2 linked regions of the Daphnia pulex genome follow. The main gene of each other region encodes a partner of the protein of the gene in region 2 in a complex. Links are inferred from orthologs where the notes say so. Each region holds a gene or a part of one and is shown on either strand. Other genes may lie near its edges. The genes, in order: eukaryotic translation initiation factor 4E type 2-like and GRB10-interacting GYF protein 2-like.

Region 1 (10,650 bases), on a different chromosome or scaffold from region 2:
GCGAAGAGTCAGCCGAATGATCGATAAAATACCAAGCCAAGAGTCTTTGCATGCAGTCGGCAACGTCCGTGCATACATGAAATGCGCCAAGTTGTGCGCAGAAGCAAAAGAAAATCCCCCCGCCCCTATAGTCTATCCACTCACCCTCCTTACATTCGTTTCTCCTATTCTAACCCTCGAGGAGGAGGAAGAGTTGGCTTTCTTTTATGGCTGAAATAAGTCTAGTCTTCTCGACTGGGCAACGTGTATCGGGTGTTTGAATTCCACGGTAGTTGCCATCTTTTGCCTGTGTGCTTATATATTCCATTTCTCTGGAAAATTTCAAATTTCAAGTGACATCTGCACTCTCCAACTTCAATTCAAGCCCATTGCGTAATAAGCTATGTCGAGTTGATAGAGTTCCGTTTCCAACTAGCACCGTTCTCGCCACGTCATTGGATTCTCTACCGACAGCTACCAACACGAATCGGCCCGACGCTTTCGAAATATCTAAATGTCATTCCAACAACCGGTAAATGCTCACTCTTCAGATTCTCGTTAATTAATTTCAGCTCGAATATTTTAGCAATTTTATTGTCATTGTAAGAAAAAGCGTCGAACGTTTTTTTATTACGTGATTTTCTTAATTGTAGAAATGTCTGTAGAGGGAGTCTATAGGAATCGCAGGGAATTGTATTAATCAGCGAATAAAGGCGGTCAAATTCAGCCATCTTGTCGCCTTTCTGATCTTCTATCGCTCTGTCGAGTAATCGACATTTCTGACGTAGGCGAAAATCTTTCGGCGGCCAGCATGCACTTTGGTTTTGTGGAAGTGAGTTACAGAAACCAAAAAAAAAAAAAAAAAAAACGTTTAAAATAAATTCGATTTGGTAACGGTGATTACGTTTAATGGAATTGTCTGTAATAAAATCGTTTTTGGTAGAATCCCTCGCTGCTGTCTGTCTAAATCGTTTAATTTTTTAGTTGTGAGACATGTTGACGGGTTGCAAGTAATGAGATTTAGTCATGCGAGTGCATTACTACCGAGCATTTTTCAACGTTAATAGCTCTGCTGTACTGTCGTCATATATATAGCATGCCTTCCACGTATTACATCACTCCTATAACTCACAATTGTGCGTTCGTAACTTATTTAATCAGACCAGAAATTGTCTTTTAAGTGATTTGAGCCGACCGCAAGTGCTTTATGTTTCATTTCGTTTTTGAAAGGCTAGACGTTGGGGTGTTGTATATTTTTCGCCAAAGCCATTCGGCAAACGTAGAGATGTGTTTCTTTTTAATAATAATAATTCCTTAACGAACCCAATTATCTTTCCAGTTGGTCTCCTTTGTCTGGTGAACAGGAAGAAAGGAGACACTGATTTCATGTGTAACTTCCTAACATTTGGCAATCTGACAGCTGGATGGAACAGACAGTGTCTTATAGTTGGGCATCTTAGTAAAGATGTCTGGCTTTCTTACTTTTGATGAAAATGAGTTCGAGGAAAGAAGTGCAAAAGAATGTTGGTGTATAAAAGACAATAAATTAGGTCCCTATCGTGTGCTGCGCGATCTAAGGATCTAGATAGACGTCGATATCACGAGCCACCATCTTAATCGATCCGACTAACTGGCCGACAAAAGCGAACATTTTCTTGCGTTGGAAATTGATTTTCTTCACCTGTTCTTGTATCTGAAAACGGCTGCAGCAATAGTATTTAATAACATTGTATTGATTCTTCATTTTGTCTCAACCCAGACAGCGGCGAGGAGTGTCGGACCAGTTTTTGCGAGATGCAAGCGTGCCAACCGCCGGAGATGCATGTGGGCTTATCTGGTTGGACTTAGTGTTCTTGCGCTGATCCTGGTGACATCACATCTACCTCGTTCTGGCTTCAATCCCACGACTTTTGTCGATAATGATGACCCAATCGAAAGCGGTGAGTAGCTTTACTTTACTTCCAATAGTTTCTCTTTAATTCTGTTTGGATTATTTCAAAATTACATTACTCTACTTAAATGTTTGATTAATTGAATTTAGTTGGGCTTTGGAGACGCCATTTGTTGGCAAACGAAGAAAAACGAACGTCGACTGCAACGCCAATTTTAGATCCGTTCGCCGGAATCAACTGCACTCCTCCGGCTATTGAAGAATTTCCACGGCCAGGCATCCCGCAATATGTCCGAGCCAAGGGTGGTCTCGTGGTCCACTTGCTCGTTTCCGCTTACATGTTCCTGGGTCTATCCATCGTCTGCGATGACTACTTCGTTCCTGCACTCGAAAGGATGGTGGAATGTATGTTGTAAATTTGTTTTTCTTATTTCCGACAATAATCAGCTAATGAAACCGATTTCCGGCAGCCCTGCACATGTCTCAAGATGTGGCGGGAGCTACTTTTATGGCAGCTGGTTCATCCGCTCCAGAACTTGCAACTGCAGTGATTGGTGTATTCATAGCCAAGGTAATGTCGAATGAATTTCTCGGGTTCTTTCATCAGAGTCAAATAAATGTAACTGATATATGTATTTTGTTACAGGATGACATAGGTATCAGTGGCGTGATTGGCTCTGCCGTCTTCAATATCATGTTTGTTATCAGCGTGTGCGCCCTCTTTTCCGGAGGTGTCATCTATCTGAATTGGTGGCCGCTTGTTCGTGACTGCATCGCTTATTTCGTGGCCATATTTGCTCTTCTCTTCACCATCTACAATGAAGTTGTCACATGGTAATGGAAATATTCGACATTCCAAATATCGATTTTGGAGCTTTATTGTCTTATCAAGAATGTTTTGTTACCATTTACCATTAACGTGCGCCATTAAACCTTGGCAGTCAAAAAATCTATTCGATTTTGTTTTAATGGTAACGTAATCGTTTTGGACTATCCAAAGGTACGAGTCGACCATTTTCCTGATGCTCTACGTGGCCTATTGTGTAATGATGGTCTACAACTCTCAACTGGAGCGATGGGCAAACACTTTGCCTATTCCTATTCCCGACTACGCCCGTAGACTTCCCGGTGGGGAAAACGCGTCGCTGATGCCCTACAAGAATCTTGACTCGGAGGCAGGTGGCATTAGTGGCCCCGCTGGGAAACTCTACACCGACGAAAGATCCCCTGGTAATGCCTCACACATCCAGGAAACTTTGTTCCGATTTTAACATTTTTCTTTGGAAATACTTCAATAGATTCTGTGAAATCTTCGATTGACGGAAATGTTGGTCCCTGTGACGCTGGAGGCACTTCCGGCCCTTCGATCAGCAAGATTAAAGAGGAGGAGGCAGAGCGATTTTCGCCGTGGGTACCACCAGTAGAATTTCTAGACCGGATCACGTGGGCCATCTGCCTGCCGTTGCGTGCTGCTGCTTACTACACGATGCCCAACTGCCGTTTAGAGAAATGGGGCAGTTGGTTCCTTGTTTCTTTTTTCATCAGCATGCTCTGGATTTCCATCTTTTCCTACGTCATGGTCTGGATGATCACTATTATTGGTTAGTAATATTTACTCATTCGAATATGTTTGTATTTATTAGACGGTACATTATTTTACTAAATTTGTGATCAGGTTTCACTATGGGAATTCCGGATACTGTGATGGGATTGACGTTTGTGGCTGCTGGTGTCAGTATTCCCGACATTCTAACCAGTTTGGCTGTTGCCAGAGAAGGTGAAAATGACTGAATAAAAGGAAAATTTGATACAAATAGTAATCATTCGTTCTCTTTAGGTTACGGTGACATGGCTACATCCAACGCCATCGGCAGCAATGTATTCGATATTCTCATTTGTCTGGGGCTACCTTGGTTTCTTCAAACGGCCGTCGTTGATCCGGGAAGTGTAGTTCGAGTCATCAGCAAAGGTACTGTACCACCGACACTTTCACCATTGCTCACGTTTACGGAACCATGAAGTATTATTCTGTTAAAAATGCAGGATTAACATATTCAACCCTATCATTGCTGTCAACCATTGTTTTCTTGTTGGGCGCCACTCATCTGAATGGCTGGAAGCTGGATCGCAAATACGGAGTTGCTCTTCTGGGGTGGTATTTGTTCTTCATGATCATCGCTTCTAGTACGTTTAAATTAGGTTTTATTCTAACTAACGCTGAATTTTGTATTAACCTATTCATAAATTTTACTCTAGTGTACGAGATGAACATCTTTGGCTACTTTAACCCGCCGGAATGTGACAGCGAATTTTGAGAAATGAAGCGCATCTATTCTAGGTGACCATCTTACACCAACAAATATCATCTTCTTGGCAACTCCAGTCATGCAGTATTTATAGGGAATCAATTCATGGTAACCTGGATTCAACAGGGAATGAAGCTGATATACAATCCGCACTATCTAGCTTACAAGCTGTTTCCCGGAGCTTGAACGGGCTCCGCAGCTCTCGGCCGCACATATATGGTCCTTGGTAGAGCTCAAAATTTTTATTCTACTAATCTATACAGATACAACTGCAACGATGTTTACATTCACAATAATATAAAATTATAGTTCATTTATTGTGTGGTTTAAAATTTTGTTTATTATTTTGCGATGGTCCGCCATCGTCCTTTTGTTTGTTTACATTTGATTCGTATTTCGGTGTCTCGACGTGTGCCAATTTGTTGATGTTAAATAAGTAAGGTTGCTTTCCATTTTCCTCTTTTGTTAATTTCAGTATTATATTTCGCAATCTATTTCACCGTGAAACCTTGTTTATCGTAAATCACTACTTACAATTCCGAATCGAAGTATCACCAGCAAAATTTTGACGTTCGTCGAGCGGTGAGCTACAATGGATGTTGATTTTTGATTTCCACTTTTCTCATTTAATATAACCGTTCATCACCCTATTCCACATACATTACGCATGTTTCTCACCTGAAAAATCTAGCGCATTTCTTAATTCTAGGCTGAATGTACTACTCCGTGTTAGTAGCATCTCAAGCTAATAAATCAACCGTCTGTCAAATGTGTGGTTTTGAGGAAAAATCAATTAACAACAAATAGTTTCACCACAAGCTCCCATGCTTTACAGTGTAAAGCTAATAAGTAATCATTACAACATTTGACGCTTAAGTTGGTTCTTCCATAAAAGTATTGAATAAACTCGTATTTAGAGATTATTCAACGAAGAATGTTAGACACATTTGAATCAAACTTTTATAAAGCTAGAAATAACAGTATCGGTAATGAACACCGTGACCAGGTCAACTTTCAACTTATTTATATTCCGCTTGAGATGTAAAATATTGTGTCTTTATCGGACAAAGACATCGGTATTCCGAAAACTGGAATTGTCCCTGGAGATTTGAAGGGAGAAGAGGTAGAGGAAAGAAAGAGAAAAAGATTATGAATTCTCATTTGAATGGCGAGACCACCATTCCGTACTTTAGAGAATCCGTGTGGTTTTTGTATTCAAGTATTGTGTTCGGTGGAAGGTTTAAGACTCGACGAAGTGTATCTCGAATTCGGTTGGTAGTAGCCTGATCACTTGCAATTCGATTCCATACCGAAATAATATCCTCCTAAAATATATATATTTATATAAATTATATGATTTTTAACACAAAAAACATTTTTCTTACAGCAAATCGAATTGAGACGACAGCTCCACATATTTCGTCGCCTACCATAAATTGTTCGCCTAACATAGCTAATATTAAGTTCTCCCAACAACGTGAGGCTAAACCTTTTCGAAGACGCACAATCCATTTACCACCACAACGATTGGCATCATCCTGTTGGGAAAAAAAAGTAGGTTAATAAACACTTCACCACCCTTATTATTATTTAATAATACAACCTCCCACATTGGTTTGATTCCATCTTTAAATAAATGAAAGTCACTGTGACCAGAGAGTTCACAAGGCCTGACCAGATGGCAATAGTATGACCAAAACTGTTCTACAGAAGCAAAACGTCCAACCATTCTTAGATTCTGATCAAAGCTTTGGGGTGCTGCATGTTTTCCAGGAGCTCTCCGACTAAACCACAAACAGTATGTGTATCTAAAAACAAATGGTATTTCTATAATTAACATGTACTAATAAAAGTAATATCATTTTCATGTGTACTGGAGTGGATGTTCTTCTCGAGGAACTTGAATGGGTTGCTGAAAAAAATTAACCTTTAAATTAGTAGGAAAAAATGGGTAAGTGAGCACATAAATTCGTCTATCGCAATTATCACATCATTAACATAGAGTTAATAGATATTACAATAATTTTTTGTGTATTATGCAGTTAATATCTCACCAAAATTAAATCCTTTTTCTTTCTTTCTTCACTGAATGAAGTTTCGTCGTCATCACTGTCTTCGCTGTTGTTCAACCTGTCGAAAAGCAACAAAGTAAACGCAAATTCTATTAAAACATGTATAAAATTTGAAAACTTACGCATCAAATTTATTGTTATTAAGGGCCATTTGTAAATAGTTTACGAAATCGGAGTGTTACAGTCAAATTGTTCACTTAATTTATACACCAATTTGCAGCATGTAGTAGAAAGACTAAAGAAAGAAACAAGCAGTATGTCCAGAAATGTTGTACAAATTTTAGATGGTGAAAACACTAAACAGTACCCACACTATAGAGTAGCGAAAAATTGCCACCAGTTGCCACCAGGTGACCTTCAAGAGGTTTTGGCGCCACACACTAGAGTACCCTTCCCAAAGCCAAAGCGCCACGGCCCACGGGAGAAAGATGTTATAGTTATTGTAACTTCTAATGTAATGGTAATAAAGAGATAATTTGAACCATTGAATTTTAAAATCAAGTAAAATATTGGAAATACATGTCATAGCAGAAAAAGTGACTTCGTGATTAATTTTTTTCCAAAAATAAGAATCAAAAATCAAATGGCAACGCTCAACACTTCCGCTCATTGGTTTCTTTTTTTGTAGCAGAGGTTTTTCAACACATTAGATCAAAGACAGGACTTCGAACCACGTGTGAAGCACGATGCATTCATCTGGTAAGCGCCATCACATAATATAAATTTTACAAGCTAGTTATAGGGATCGATTATGTGTTTTCACATGGAAAAGATGCATTGTAGTTTGCTGCACAAATAGTATGATTCGAAATTTACATTAATTTGGTTAATTCTGTGATCTACGGATTAATGTTGGTAACACGTGTCGGTTAATGTTAGCATTCCTGTGTTTCAGAAGTCCTAGGAGAGAAACAAAGTGGAAAGAAGTCAAGAAAGTCCTTGGGAGATATTCAAGGAGATTCAGACTTTGTGTTGGAGCCATCAGAAAAACCAGTAGCAAAATTGGACTGTTCACAATGGCCGCTGTTACTAAAGGTATGTTGTTAAATATTAAATTAAATGTAGATGTTCTCAAAATAATTTATTTTAGTATCTATCTATACAAGCATTATGCTAAGAATGCTAATGATTAATTTATCGAAAGTAGTGGACTGAAAAGACTGAAGACACTCAAAGATAATGAAGCATTTAAAACTAAATTCTTAAAATTTTTCTAGTTTGAAACTTGATCTTTATAGATATTAATTTTTCCCTTGTTATTTATTAAGAAATGTGAACATTTTCTAAATCATCTTTTTTTTTCAGAATTTTGACAAGTTAAACACAAGGACAAATCATTATACACCTCTTCCAAGTGGTTGTTCACCATTGAAGAGGCCAATTAAAGATTATATTCATGGCGGTTTTATTAATCTTGACAAGCCATCTAACCCAAGCTCTCACGAAGTAGTTGCCTGGATTAAGAGGATTCTAAGATGTGAAAAGACGGGTCATTCAGGAACATTGGACCCTAAAGTTACAGGTATGTTGATAGCACTCAGAAAATCCCATGGACTTTACTAATTGAATATTATACAGGGTGTTTGATTGTTTGCATTGATCGTGCTACAAGGCTGGTCAAATCTCAGCAGGGAGCTGGCAAAGAGTATGTTGCCATATTTAAGCTTCATTCTGCAGTTGAAGATAACAATCAGGTAGTTTCTTGACCCTTCTAGTTGAAAGCCTTATGCTAAAGATGCTAATGATTAATTTATCGAAAGTAGTGGACTGAAATGACTGAAGATAATTAAAGATAATGAAGCATTTAACTGAATTCTGTTAATTTTTTAAGTTAGAAACTTGATCTTTATAAATACTAATTTTGTATATATTTTTTTTATTTATTAAGATTCCTCGAGCTCTTGAGAAGTTGACTGGAGCTTTGTTTCAGCGTCCACCACTGATCTCGGCTGTTAAGCGACAACTTCGTGTGCGAACCATTTACGAGAGTAAATTTTACGAGTACGATGCCGAGAGACAAATGGGTATCTATTGGGTTAGCTGTGAAGCCGGAACTTACGTTCGTACCCACTGTGTCCATCTCGGTTTGGTGCTAGGCGTAGGAGCTCAGATGGCGGAACTCAGAAGAGTTCGTTCTGGTAAGCCAGGAAGTTTCTTTTTGTGTGTGTTCTTAAGATGAAGATTTTATTTTTTATAAGGTATCCAAAGTGAAAAAGAAGGGTTAATGACTATGCACGATGTAATCGATGCGCAGTGGTTACATGATAATCATAAGGACGAAACATATCTGCGGCGGGTTATTCGTCCATTAGAGGCATTGATGATGTCTCACAAGCGAATAATCATGAAAGACAGTGCTGTAAGTGTGTTAATATTTATCTATAATATTCTTTATAATAATGTGTTAAAAAAATATATAACAGGTTAATGCCGTTTGCTATGGAGCTAAAATCATGTTGCCTGGTGTATTGCGGTACGAAAATGGTATCGAACTAAATGAAGAGATTGTTATAGTAACAACCAAAGGAGAAGCAGTGGCTCTCGCCATTGCTTTGATGACGACAACAACCATGGCTTCATGTGACCATGGTATTGTTGCCAAAATTAAACGTGTTGTCATGGAGCGTGACACTTATCCCAGGAAATGGGGACTTGGACCTAAAGTAAAAATTGATATAGTTTACATTGGCGTTACTTGTATGTATATGTATGTATTTGTTTAATTTTAGGCTTCCGTCAAGAAGGGTATGGTGAAACAGGGACTCTTGGATAAGTTTGGCAAACCTAATGACAAGACACCTAAAGATTGGTTGACATCTTATGTAGACCTAAAGTATGTAATTCAACGCAGTATTTGTATCAAATTTTTCAATAATATTATATTTTTCTGTAGCGTTAAAAAAGAAAAGGTTGAACCAACTGAAGATGCTGAGGCACGAAAAAGAAAGTTAAGTGAAACGAGCGCCGTTGCTGATCCGTTGTCAGAATCCATGACGGAAACCAAGGAGAAGAAGAAGAAGAAAAAGGACAAAGACCGGGTAAGTGTTTATACTCTTGTGAAATAATGATGTCTTAATCATTTATGGATGATTTTCAGGAGCCGCAGGGTAATGAAAGCATTCTTGATGCCACCGTAGAATCGGTTCCTGAAACCAAAGAGAAGAAAAAGAAGAAGAAAGATAAAACAGCTGAAAATGAAGACCTTTCAATTGCAGTGGACACATCAACAATCAAGGTAAATTAAACTTGTCAATTAATTTTTTTTTTAAACAAAGGTGTCGTGATTATTTAATGAAAGTAGTGAACGGAATATTTCTGACGAAAATTACCTAAATGAAAACATACTGCAAATATTATTCGCCGAGTAATTTGGTATGCATTAGTAATGTGAACATATTTCTATTTAGGAGGAGTCTGCCAAGAAAAAAAAGAAAAAGAAAGATGTCGATCGGGAAGATGATTAATTATAATTGAAATAATTTGTAATATTATGTTTGCAAGAAAATTCGAAAATACAATTCATTTCATTTTTATGCTGTGTATTAATTTATCAGAAAGTTTCAAGATGTGACAACTTCATTTGCTCCTTCAAAATTTAACCCTTCAACATCAACTTCATTTTCAGAGGCATTTAACATGTTCAATGTCACTTCAGCTGTTGACTTGTTATTAATCATTTGGGGCTGTTGTTGAACAACTACAACTGCTTGCTGAGGACTTGAATTAATATTCTGGAGTGGACTTGGTTGAACAACTGGTTGGCTGATGACTTTGGACAAAGGAATACCTGCTGCCTCAAAAGTTTTTTTCTTCAAACTACCATGAATTTGTGTCCTAATAAATAGAAGCAAATAAAATTTGAAATTTGAACACTGACATATGATTTTTGCAATCAACTTACACTGTCTTGTCTTTAATATGTTCAGAAATCTTTTCAAGATCTTCTCCAAAGCGCTTAATGGAACTTCTCAACATTTCAATTTCATCTTCACTCCATTTTGACCTGTATAAGAAAAAATTAAAAATACAACAGTGTTACAAAAGTAAATTACTTTAAATTATTTACCCAGCATTGGCATTTTCTGAGGAATGTAGCTGCATGGTCAATTTCCCCAACGTACTGAAAGCTAAGAAAAATAATGGCTGAAATCACTCATTCAACAATTACCTACATACACCATGTGTATTTTACCTAATCCTGCAGCTCCAAATATATCGGCAACCTTATTAGCAGAGTTCATTCTTGTGCACTTTTACAAACAACTAACCCAGAAAATTCACCACAAAGTCAATTATTTGGTATAAAAAAACATAATTTCCCGTAGGGATTCTAGTCACAGTCGAAGGAGGCTCAGTTTTGACACGCCACCGCTGCAATTCAAACTGCAAAATTCAATTGCAG
Region 2 (11,349 bases):
AAAGATTATTTATAATTTTATTTCTTTGTGAAAAAAAGCTGCTGCTAAATTATATTTTATCCTTGTATTTTTCTAAATTATATTTCTATTTTCGGAAACTGCTTTTAGCTATTTACCCATGAGAAATCAATAAAACTATTTCATCACGTTTTTCTTTTGAATTGTGGTCAAAATCAATGAGAATATTGAACGAAACATCCGGAAATCTCGAGAAAAAGAATACCCTTTTGGAAACTATCCAACAAAATTAAAGTTACCAAATTTCCCGTGGAAACTCTTAAAATTTTTGTGTTTTGTACGGAAAAAAAACAAACAATCCCACGAAAACATTAAACAAGTTGGCACTCATGCGGTGCTTATACTAATGAACTAAACGTTAAAGGAAATGCTACGAGAATTGAAAAACAATTTTTTTTTAAGATGTTTGTATTTGATTCGTGACCAAGATCAAATTGATATTTTTTGATTCAGTGCCGAAAAATTGTAACAGAACAAAATGTCCAGCCCTGATTCTTTTCTGCTGGTGAGGGATAACGAAAAGAACTTGATCACGTTTATATTTTTGTTAACTTTTATTGCTGCCCACCAACTTTCCACACTCAAGACGTTTTGAAATTGTTGCTGTTGGTGTGTTTGTTGCGTAAAACTTGTTGTGTGTCGACATCTTAATTGTCCATCCCTAAACCCCAATAAACAATAATCATATTGGTTGCTTTATAAGTTTGAACTCGTCTCTTGTCGTGTGTGGTCGTTGATTTTATCTTTTTTTTTTGGCTTTCTTTAACAATGATTCACATGCCGTCCACGAAATCGCGCTCACCGACGTTGATGCGATCCGTCGAAGCAGAAACGCTGAATCCCAACAAACTGGCATCCACTTTCTGCATCTTCTTCTTAGACTTCTTGGATTTAGACTAAAACGGAACATTTTCATTAGTGAAATGGTAGAGACAACGTTTTATCTTTTATTTTTAAATAATTACTTTAACTTCATGGAAGTCAGATGATTGTCCCGGATTTATGGCTTTGGCCGGGATGCACATGTTGTCCTCTTCGTATTGCTGGACGTTTCTTTGCATCTGGCGCCAACGAGAACGTTGATCAAGGAATTGCTTGGCGAACTCTTTGGCGTCTTTGCCCTCGCCAAGATACAAGCGAACATACTCCTGGACTTCAAATGGAGATTCCACGTCCTGTAATAAATGTAATCAAGAAAAAAAAATGTAGTCAAGAAACATTAACGACCCGACTCAAAAGATTAACTGTACCTTGAGAAAGGCGACAAATGTGGGCACATCAATCTGTGCCTGGACTTTCTTCAGGTACTCAAAACACCACTGACTAAAACTATCCTTCTTTTCAGCGGCGGCGGCGGCAGTTTGATTAAACAGCTTGCGAACCGCTTCTTCCTCCTTATTACTGCGGTTCTTGTTGTTCGACGCCGCCGCCGTCGTCGTCGAACCCGACGTTTTGGAAGTGGCCGGTTGTTGTTGTTGTTGCTTAGCTCCCGCTGCTTGTTGTTGCGGCTGCTTGGACGCCGCAGCCGCCGCAGCAGACTTGCCACCACCACCGCCAGCAGACTTGGCCGCCGCTTGCTGCTGAGCCGGTTTGCTCGTGGCCTTTGGAGGTGGAGGGGTTGGATCCTCCCAGAAACCAACCGTCAGGCCAATTTTCCAGTCGGCATTCGTGGTGGTGGAATGATTGGTTTTGGCGGTGGTGGTGGCCGCCGTCGCCGCTGCCGCCGAAGGGGGAGGTGGTGGGGGTTGCTGTTGGGCCACAACAGCGGCAACAGTCCGGCCAGAACTCCAAGCCGAATTACTGTGGTGCGATGACCCCCAAGCGCTGGCTGCCGCCAGATTCAGGTGCGCCATGTTCACCTGCTGGTTGGCCTTTTCTTTGGCTTCCTTCTCCTTTTGCTGGGCAAGTTGAGCTGCCTCCTCGGCCTGAATCTCGGCCAGAGACTTGGCGTTGGATGGGGTCGGAGTGTTTTGTTTGGCCCAGCGGAGCTTAATGGCCGCTTGCTGTTGTTGCTGCTGTAAAAGAGCGGCCGCACGAGCCGCCTGCTCGGCCTTTTGGGCCTGGGCGATTGCCCTTTCTTTGGCTTCCTTTTCTTCCTGCAACTTTTGAATTTCAGCCATGCTCAGCGATTCACCGGTTTGCTGTTGCTGTTGTTGCTGCTGCTGCTGTTGTTGGGCCCACGGAGCCATCATGGCCTGAGCAGCTTTAGCCTGAGCTTGAGCCTGCGCCTGTTGTTGAGCGGCGGCGGCGGCTGCAGCAGCCGCTTGCTGGGCGGCCGCTCTAGCCTGAGCCTGAGCCACGGCTTGCTGCTCCTGAAGCCTCTGAAGGGCTTCCTGCTGGCGGCGGTGTTGTTCGGCCGCCTTCTCCTCCTCTTTCCGGATCCTTTCTTCTTCTCGCCGGATCCTTTCCTCTTCCAGTTGCTGTTGTTTCAACTCCTCCTCTCGTTTGCGCTTCTCCTCCTCGCGCCGCCGCTTCTCTTCCATGGCTTGCATTTGCTGTTGTTGCTGCTGCTGTTGTTGCGCCAGCTCTCTCCTCCTCATTTCTTCCGCTTGCTGCTGTCGTTCCGTCTCCCTTCGCATCTCTTCTATCCTCATCCTCTCTTCCTCCCTCTCCTGCAACAAGAAAAGTTAAAAATTAAAAACACAAACATTCGCAGCTTTATTTCTAAATATTTACTTGAATTTCAAGTCGTCGTCGACGTTCTTCTTCCTCCTCTTTCATCCGCTTCTCCTCCATCTCCCTGCGGTGCATTTCGGCGGCCATTTGCTGTTGATGTTGTTGCTCCATTTGGCGCTTTGCTTCCTCGACCTTGGCGCTTTCAAGATCCCAAACGGACGTCATGGGCGGCTGAAGCTCTGCAGGACCGGCCTGGAAGAGCGCAGAGTGATTGTGCCAGGGAACACCGACGCCAGGAGGCAGTCCATGGAAGCCCGGCGCCACGTGATTGCCCATCACTGGATCAACGATGGTTCCACCAACACTTTGGGCCGCTACATGATTGGCGTTCCATTGAGCTTGTTGGATGAGACTTTGGATGGGATCCAGGACAACCTGGGCTTCTTGTGGTTTAGGGTTATTCATGATGGAGCTGGTAGGAGGTTTCGAAACGACGGCCGGGGGCGATTTCGATTGCCCCAGCAACTGCTGGATAAACGCCTGAATCGGATCATGAGACTTCATCAGGTTGTTGGGATTGTTGGCAAGAGCTGGCTGCTCTAATACTGCTTGCGGTTGCTGATGATGCTGCTGGCTGAGATGGTTGACTAAAGAGTGCACAGACTGCTGCTGTTGTTGTTGTTGCTGCTGCTGATGCTGTTCTTTGCTGCGCTGAAGCTGAATCATTTCAGCTTGGAGTTTAGCTTGAGCCTCCATCTGGAGCCGCAATTGCTGGAGGACAGGATCACCCGGGAGTGGATGCGGCATGTTTGCCATGTGCTGGTTAACCACCTGCTGCTGCTGGATGGGCGACAGCGTGTTCCAGCCTTCCATCTGCGACAATTTGGCAATGATCGTCTGTTGCCTGAGCATGTGCTGCTGCTGCATCATTTGCTGCTGGAACATTTGCTGCTGGATGAGTTGCTGTTGGAGCATCTGCAGCTTCTCCTGCTCGGCCGACACCAGCGGATGCAGGTCAGAGTTCTTCATAGGCGGGATGGGAGGGCCAGGCATGAAGGGCAGACGGCCCCACATCTTCGTCAGTTCGCCCAATTGAGCGTAACGTTCGTCACAGGCACGTCGGACACTCAACGCCATGGTGAAATAACCGCTATTGAACCATTCGCTCATTTCGGCCGTCGCAAACGGGCCTTGCACTTCACCCTGTGGATCTCTGCCTCGCACCAAACGAGCACAAGAAATTCACGCCGTTAAAGCAAAAATGAAACGAAAGAAATCAACAAATAAGGATTCAACCTGTAAAACCATTGATCCATGCTTAAGTTCAGTTGAGGGTTTGGCGGACTCGGCGATGGTTTCGGTTGGTCTTCGTCTTCCACCAACTGAGCCACCAGCGTCGACACGACCGCTTGAGCGTGTTCCAGGCCGTCCTCGTCCACACGCAGATTGGGCTGAGATAACATTGATGAGGACTCAGGACTAGGACCACGGAGGACGGGAGGACTTGAATTGACAACGGTGGCGGCAGCGGCGGAAGTGGCGGAGATTTGATGGGCGGCAACCTGGACAGGAGTGACGGCAGCCGGAGGAGAAGCTGACGGTTGTTCCTCGTGGATTTGTGAGTCTTTAACGTTGTCCTTGGAAGGGGAATCGACCGTGACAGGGCCACCGTCTTCATCCCCGACACCTCCGTCGTGAGACGGTTCGGCTCTCTTCCGCAACACGCGTCTCTTCTTGCCTTCACCGTCATCCTCGTCTGACCACCTTTCGTCGCGGAAAGCGCCGGAAGAGTCAAACGTTCCTCCCCCTTGTAAATGTTCTTCCGCGACCCTGTGTCCGAGATTTTTACAAATCAATTATCATCAAATTTTGTATTTGTTGTATTAGTTCAAGTCTTACCACTCGGGAAGTGAGTCGTTTTCATCCCAACCCCGCCGATTGGGATGGTGTCCGCCTCTACCACCCCTACTGCTATTAGAGTAGTAGCCAGCACTACCCGTTGGACGGCCATCATCGTCCCAAGTGCGATGGACTCTTTCTGAACGTTCTCCAGTTCCTCCGCCGCCAACTCCTCCTCCTCCGCTACTATTATTACTACCTTCTACCCACGGATCTCGTTTCTCACCACCCGGTGGATCACGTTCCCCACCTTCACGTTCAGAACGCCAGCCAGTTCGACCTGCGTGTGGTTGTTTTTTTTTTAAACAAAAGCAAAAAAGTAAAACGTCAAAACATGTTCGATGTGAACTCGCGTGTTACTACTCTGTACAGTACGTACCCCAACGTTCTCCACGACCAGCAGTTCGCCAACCATCTTCCTCTTCTTTGTTCTCGGCCCGTTCAGCGCGTTCTCTCATGGCCTCACGCGACCGCCAATTATTGTCGCCGGCGGCTGGGCGGGCAGTGCCAAATTCTTTACGTGGACTAGTAGAGCCGTTCCACGTCTCTGACTCGGCACCGCCACCATTTCTCTCGGGTCGCTCGATCCAAACCCGTTCAGAGGAGCTCTAAATGAAATAAATACGTAATGAATTTGACTATTAAATTGGGTAGTAGATGGGTTCAACCTGGGATCGCTCGAAAGGCCGAGTAGTTCCTCTTCCATAACCTGTCGGTGGACCTTCTCTGCGAGTCCCATGATCTCCTGGATCTCCTCCATCTTCATAACTCGTTCCACGATTGTACGCTCCGACTGCTGAACCAACGCCGCGAGCTCTTCCTCTTCCACGATCCATACTTCCTCCGCCTCGGCCTCGAGAAGCTCCAGCTCCCACCGGTGGACCACTGCCTCCAACGGGTGGACCAGCAGTTCGACCCATCTGTTTTAGGACAACATCACTGTTGACTCCTCGCTGCCACATACGCTAGAGAAAAACATTGAGGAAATGAAATCAAGCAACAGGTTAACCAATGGGTAACAGGAGAACCAACCAAAACAAATAGACTAACCATCTCTTCGTCAGACATTTGAATAAGTGCAAGGGGAGTTTGTGTCTTTTCAATGTAGATTGGTGGGGCTGTGGTTAAGTCATCGGGGGCCTTCATCATTTTGTCATAAAGGGCTAGCATTTCTTCTCTTCCGTACCGGTGTTGAGCCAGCTTGTATCGAGGTGCTCCAAGGCTGGGACTGGGTGGTGGGGATACTGCAGTGTCTCCGTGAGATAAAGCTCTGAGCCTGCAACATCACACAAGAATCACACAACTCCAGTATAGAATCATCACTTTGTTTCATGCCATGATTCTTTTGGTGTAAACATTTACCATTCAGGTCCGAACTTTAGGGCAGTGTCACTCATCTTCAAGGGTTTTGCAGTGGTAGTACTGTTTTGAGAAAGAAAAAGAGACCTGTCATTAGTATGAGACCATGGCCCAAACGAATTAAAATCATAATAATGGCGCGCCGTATGATGATTAACAGAACATCTAGAATCGCAAGAACCACACGCTTTCTCCGACCAAAATGTAACATGAAACTTCTTGCATTTCGGAAGATTTTGGTTGCACTACCTCATGATTTGCGTATGCGATTTCGCTCTCGGACGAATCCAGAAATATTTCAGCAGAAGCGAGAATTAAGATTTTTAATATTCTTTTCGGGTAGAGAGGGGTTTATAATTATCAACCAACGCACTAGAGCAGCGATAGCTTTACAAGATGTCGGATACCAGGGGGGAGGAGCCAACGGGCCTTGTTGTCGCTACCGAAATTTTACTAATTTTAAATTATAACCATGCCGAAATCACGACGCAATAAATTAAATAAAAAGATAATAATCATTTTGAATATTCATTTGCTTTTATTTGTTGTTTTTGATGATGAAAAAGCCATTATCAAACCAACGTCGGTCTCTGGTCGTCTGTCGTCGCAAAACGTCAACAAAGAGATACAACTGCAACTTGAGCCAAATCAGCTTCATTCTCACAAGGTTGTAACGTTGTTCCACATAGCTGATCTTGATCTGTGAATATTGCGTCATCGACACAAGTAATTGTGATTGATTTTTGCCACAGTTTTCTTCCAAATGGATCCCTCCGTGTTAACGACGTTGAAAATCCTCATTACTGGCGAAAGTGGCGTTGGTAAATCAAGGTTAGATTAGCGTTGTATTACTCGTTTATCAAACCTTATCTCGATTTATTGTTCTTTCAGTTTGCTGCTTCGTTTTACTGATGACACATTCGACAATGAACAGGCTGCTACCATTGGTGTGGACTTTAAAGTCAAATTGATCAACATTGATGGAAACAATGTCAAGTTGGCAATATGGGTATGACACGAGCAGACTTGACATCATTTTCCATTTGTTGATTTATCATTTTGAAAAATTCCAGGACACAGCTGGTCAGGAGAGATTTAGAACACTGACACCCAGCTATTACAGAAATGCACAGGGTGCTATTTTGGTGTATGATGTGTGCAGTCGACAATCTTTTTCCAGATTGGATGCATGGTTTGATGAACTGGAAACATACGCTACAAACACAAATATTGTCAAAATGTTGATAGGCAACAAAATAGACAAGGTAAGATATTTTAGTAACGTTCAGTGGACATTGTTTCACACTTTTCATATTCCCAGGAACGAAGAGAAGTAAGCAGAGAAGAAGGGCTCAAGTTTGCCAAAAAACATTCAATGCTTTTCATAGAAGCAAGCGCGAAAACTAAAGATGGAGTCCAAATGGCCTTTGAAGAACTTGTACAAAAGGTACGAAAATAACTTTTCCCCAAAGAGTCTTATCTCTGTCGATTCCTTGTGTTATCATGTTTTATATTCCCCACAGATTATTCAGACGCCTGGTTTATGGGAAGCCGATGCGTCCTCTCAAAGAGGTATGTCCCTCTCCGACAGAACTGAAGGCGGCCAACCTTGGTCATGTTCGGGTTACTGCAGTTTGGTATGAAGAGACAACTGTCATTCTTATTGTGTAAATTTCTTCGGGGTTTGTTTACGAAATTCGAGACACTTGATGCGTCTGCTGTCCAACAATGGACCAACTTTATTCGTCATCCGACTAATTAGTTGGTAAAGAGAAAGCTGCTCAGTTGAGCAATCATGGCTTATTAGTTCTTTAACAAAAATGTTCTTGTCAGAAATCCACATCATGTCGGTTTGTTTCGGAAAGCGCGTGAAAATATACATTATTTCAAAATAATCCAAATTTTCCCGTTGTTTAGATACGTACACTGAAAGTTCGCTTATTAGATTAAGCATATATGTACTCTGTTTATCTTGAGATGATTGCATCGCTGTGAAAAGTGGAACAGCAGTTGTCGATTGATTCCTTGTTTGAATGTCGTAGCGCTTGACTCGATGTAGGACACGATATACAGTTATTCATTCTTTATCATCGTGACGACGCAATCATTCTAATCATTTAATCGCAATCGTCTAGACGTCGGTCTGCTTAAACGTTATTTTTGTGTTTATTTAGATTTCCGTCTTTGTTTGAGCGCGTGGCACACGCGTGGGAAATACCTAAAATATTTTTAAATCGGTCGATTATAGCCCACGATTAAAAAAGAAACGCGTGTGGCGTGATGGTCGGTAAACGTCACCGAGTTTATCGCTGCCTCCCTTTGAGGTTACGATGACGCGATCTGTAGTAGGGAGGAAATAAAACGACGCCACTTGTGGTGGCTGATTGCACAATACGTCGCTGTCTAGACACCGGGTCACGTGAGCCAGATTTCTTTTAATAATGACGACAATGGAAAGGTTATTTACAAAAATTTGAGATCGCAATTTAAAATAAATCGAGTTTTGTCAGACGGGCAACGAACTCGAAACGGCCGAGACAGCGCCAAGTGGCGAAAATCAAGAGACAAGCGATTGCGGCCAGGATTAAGTAGACGTCGACCAAGGATCGCTGGAAACGGTTGAGATGGCGAGAGCCTAGCTGCAACTGCGGGGCGCCACCGTGTCGTGCAATGTACTCGGCCCAGTACAATCCGCGCTCTAGCGGACTCTCTGATTGGTCGTGCAGCAAATTCTGACGTCTGCGGACATTTTCCACGTACGAATCTTGGTAAATCAGCTCGTGGATGGTGCGGTGGAGCAGCTTGTCTTCGATCTCATTCCAGCGCAATTGCAGGGCATAGCCGTCGCGGACCGCCTTGTCCATGTTGAGCAGCTGATCGCTAATGAACGGCAAACCCAGAACGGGAACACCGTGGTAGATCGCTTCTTGCGTGCTCAATAGGCCTCCGTGAGTCAGGAACAGTCGACATTTCTCGTGACCTGTACGCAATAATTCACCGTTAATTTTTGAATTTACATTCGAAATTTAGTAAGCTCCTAAATACCTAAAAGATCCTGTTGCGGAAGCCAATCGACTAGCAGAATGTTGTCGGATAAATTGGCCGGTTTGTTGAAGCCTCGCCATTGCCAGACGACTCGTTGCGGTAAGCGTGAAAAGACTCGGATGAAAACGTCGAGCATTTCTCTAGGCATTTCGTCCATCGGGATGATGGAACCGACTCCAAAGACGATGAAACCAGCGCTACCGGACTCGGCCACGAATTGTTCCAGGCGATGCGGAAGAGGTTTGGCAGGGCGGCAGTGAATTCCGCCCAATTCGACCACACCTGGTGGATAGGCTCGAGGATAACTGAACGCTGGATGAGTATTGGCAAAGGCGGCGGTGATGTTGGCCTTCATTTCAATCAAGGAAGGAGCCCCAGGGAAATATTTCTCGATGGCCGGCTGCAAGCGCGGAAAGACGAACACGTCCTGGTAGAAGTTGAGCAGATGAGTGACGACCGTGTTGATTACGCGCTGCACCAAATTCATTTGGTCCGTCAGGGCCATCAGAAAGAAAGGGACGTACTCCTTGAAACGGAATAAAAATATGCGCCAGGTCAGTAATGAATTCAAAATTATATAAGAACATAGGAGCGAGATTTCAAGGACAAAATGTTGATAGAAGACCTGATCGCCTTCATGAAGGTTTCATTACCGTGTGCTCAGAATCGCCCAACAGGTAAGCCGAGTCTGTCATTAGAACATTCGGGCTGGATAATATGAAAGGACATTGAAAATGCCATGCTAGAGGGTAGCCAGCATAGGAGACCACCTGCGACAACAGGAGCAAATCAAACTGGCCGTGACGCAAGACCGATTGGACGCCAGCGTCGCTGTACGTTTGATCGAGGACTCGGTTCACTTGACCAGACAAGTGGCTGAAAATTTTCAACTGCGAGCCGATCGATTGTTTGGCGGCTATTTCGAAAAAATTCTGCTCGGCGCTTTCCGGGTCCAGCATGGAATAATTCAAGTTTGGAACGACGACTTCGTCCAAGTTGTACATCATTTTATGGTAACGAAGGTCAGTCGATTCTTGATTGGTGATAAAAGTCACGCTGTGGTTCCTCCTTAAATAGACGCAAAAATAAAAAGTTAGAATTTGAATTTAATAATGAAAAGTCTTGTTTTATTCAATTTCGTACTCTAATAGGCCTTGAATGAGTGGAATAAGAGTGGCTTTATGACTATGGGAGCCGAATGGCATAAAGACCAGGATGTTGTGACAGCTGGCCAGGCCAATCAGGACAAAGAAAACAGAGACTTGAGCAGGTAAAAACGACATTCTAGTTTCAAATGTTGCTGGTAAAGTTTTAGAAAGTGTCTTGTGTGCTGTTCGACCAAACTCACCCTGGTATTTATACACCGAAAGAAAATGTCTTATCAGTTCACCGGACGATACCGTAATGCAGAGGGAGGGGAGGAGGGATGATGATGGGACTTGATTGTTTCGATATATTGCGAGCTAGAATATTGTACAGGTTGGGTCTTGTAGGAAATGTGGCAAGACGCTGCTCCACCCCCCACCGTGTATTGCCTAAATGTTTATTCTTTTGTCTGGAAAAACTTTAGGAAAAAACCGGACTGAGACATGGCACTGATAATGATTCAGACATCTTACATGTCTACACGTCTATTCGTCCAGTCTGTGACGTTGTTTTTCTATTTCTTCGGTGTAATAATAAAACTAATGCGATCTATGGGGAGACGATGGCGAGATAAGCGATATACACTAGTACATATTATTAATTCGAATAATAAAAAAGGGGCGTACATTTGGCGACTGTATCCAAGGCCGAATAAACTTAATAGCAATATAGGATATTATGGGTCCGGTATTACCACATAATTCGCGCTTGCCCTAATAAATGTCCTTGTTGTTGCTCGATCGAAAATCCACCCTTTCTATCCTGAAAACACCGGGATTACCTTGGAACTTTTATTCCCCTTTGAGAATGACGGCAATCAATCACATTCTTGTTTTCCTTTTCGTGAGGATGGCCAACTGTGATGACGTAAAACGGACCGAAAATGGATGAATGCTACAAAATTATGGCGAGTCTTAATTGAATTGAACAAAGTTCACAAAAAGAAAAAGGAACATTAGTCTAAAGTTTCAAAAAAAAAAGGACGATGGTGATTTGATCACGTCGTTGTCATTATAGATAAGCGGGAATAAGCCAATGGCGTTTCACAAACGGAACCTGTTTGGTCGATTCACACGAAATGCAAATTCCACGACAGCACGTGCAGGTCTCATGGGGGAGAAACGTCAACGGGTACTAGTTAAGAAAAACAAGATTTCAAAGCTAAATCCTTAACTTAACGACACTATAACTTGATGGTATGCGAATGGGACCCTAGTCGGAAAAACCCAACCCAAAAGTGAAAATAAGGTTGAGCCTTTTTGGCCT

What was found.
Region 1: the proteins of GRB10-interacting GYF protein 2-like (region 2) and eukaryotic translation initiation factor 4E type 2-like are in contact, whole or in part, in a crystal structure (PDB 5NVM), measured with the Homo sapiens proteins. The link is inferred for Daphnia pulex from reciprocal best matches to the Homo sapiens genes GIGYF2 and EIF4E2. Residues at the interface, in NP_001096616.1 of Homo sapiens: Leu38, Ala39, Asp40, Tyr41, Arg42, Tyr43, Gly44, Arg45, Met48, Leu49, Leu51, Phe52, Leu53, Asn56, Lys57, Ile58, Pro59, Asp61, Leu62, Asp64, Glu66, Phe67, Pro69, Ile70, Leu71, Gln72; in NP_004837.1 of Homo sapiens: His54, Pro55, Leu56, Gln57, Tyr64, Arg66, Asn81, Lys83, Gln84, Ile85, Gly86, Thr87, Val91, Glu92, Phe94, Trp95, Arg96, Phe97, Ser99, His100, Met101, Val102, Leu107, Phe113, Glu149, Asn150, Leu153, Leu156, Gly157, Glu158.

The regions. Positions count from the first base shown.
Region 1 is NC_060025.1:6,907,898-6,918,547, reverse strand, and holds eukaryotic translation initiation factor 4E type 2-like, read right to left. Parts: upstream 6,576-10,650; 5' UTR 6,400-6,575; coding exon 6,371-6,399; intron 6,307-6,370; coding exon 6,231-6,306; intron 6,104-6,230; coding exon 6,051-6,103; intron 5,985-6,050; coding exon 5,780-5,984; intron 5,715-5,779; coding exon 5,562-5,714; intron 5,502-5,561; coding exon 5,365-5,501; intron 5,277-5,364; coding exon 5,234-5,276; 3' UTR 5,184-5,233; downstream 1-5,183. Other genes in the region: probable sodium/potassium/calcium exchanger CG1090, read left to right, coding at 494-511, 1,739-1,919, 2,021-2,275, 2,341-2,441, 2,517-2,704, 2,871-3,100, 3,169-3,471, 3,546-3,647 and 3 more; H/ACA ribonucleoprotein complex subunit 4-like, read left to right, coding at 6,935-6,947, 7,144-7,283, 7,554-7,770, 7,827-7,942, 8,137-8,386, 8,447-8,607, 8,672-8,911, 8,978-9,081 and 3 more; chromatin complexes subunit BAP18-like, read right to left, coding at 9,809-10,082, 10,150-10,251, 10,315-10,375, 10,441-10,489. UniProt on the Homo sapiens protein: Recognizes and binds the 7-methylguanosine-containing mRNA cap during an early step in the initiation. Acts as a repressor of translation initiation.
Region 2 is NC_060018.1:13,094,343-13,105,691, reverse strand, and holds GRB10-interacting GYF protein 2-like, read right to left. Parts: upstream 6,320-11,349; 5' UTR 6,147-6,319; coding exon 6,142-6,146; intron 5,956-6,141; coding exon 5,896-5,955; intron 5,810-5,895; coding exon 5,584-5,809; intron 5,499-5,583; coding exon 5,202-5,498; intron 5,142-5,201; coding exon 4,913-5,141; intron 4,814-4,912; coding exon 4,534-4,813; intron 4,465-4,533; coding exon 3,931-4,464; intron 3,848-3,930; coding exon 2,695-3,847; intron 2,631-2,694; coding exon 1,269-2,630; intron 1,194-1,268; coding exon 984-1,193; intron 915-983; coding exon 792-914; 3' UTR 569-791; downstream 1-568. Other genes in the region: ras-related protein Rab-18-like, read left to right, coding at 6,656-6,723, 6,784-6,901, 6,966-7,157, 7,214-7,339, 7,416-7,535; UDP-glucuronosyltransferase 2C1-like, read right to left, coding at 8,379-8,872, 8,938-9,463, 9,591-10,005, 10,081-10,220. UniProt on the Homo sapiens protein: Key component of the 4EHP-GYF2 complex, a multiprotein complex that acts as a repressor of translation initiation. In the 4EHP-GYF2 complex, acts as a factor that bridges EIF4E2 to ZFP36/TTP, linking translation repression with mRNA decay.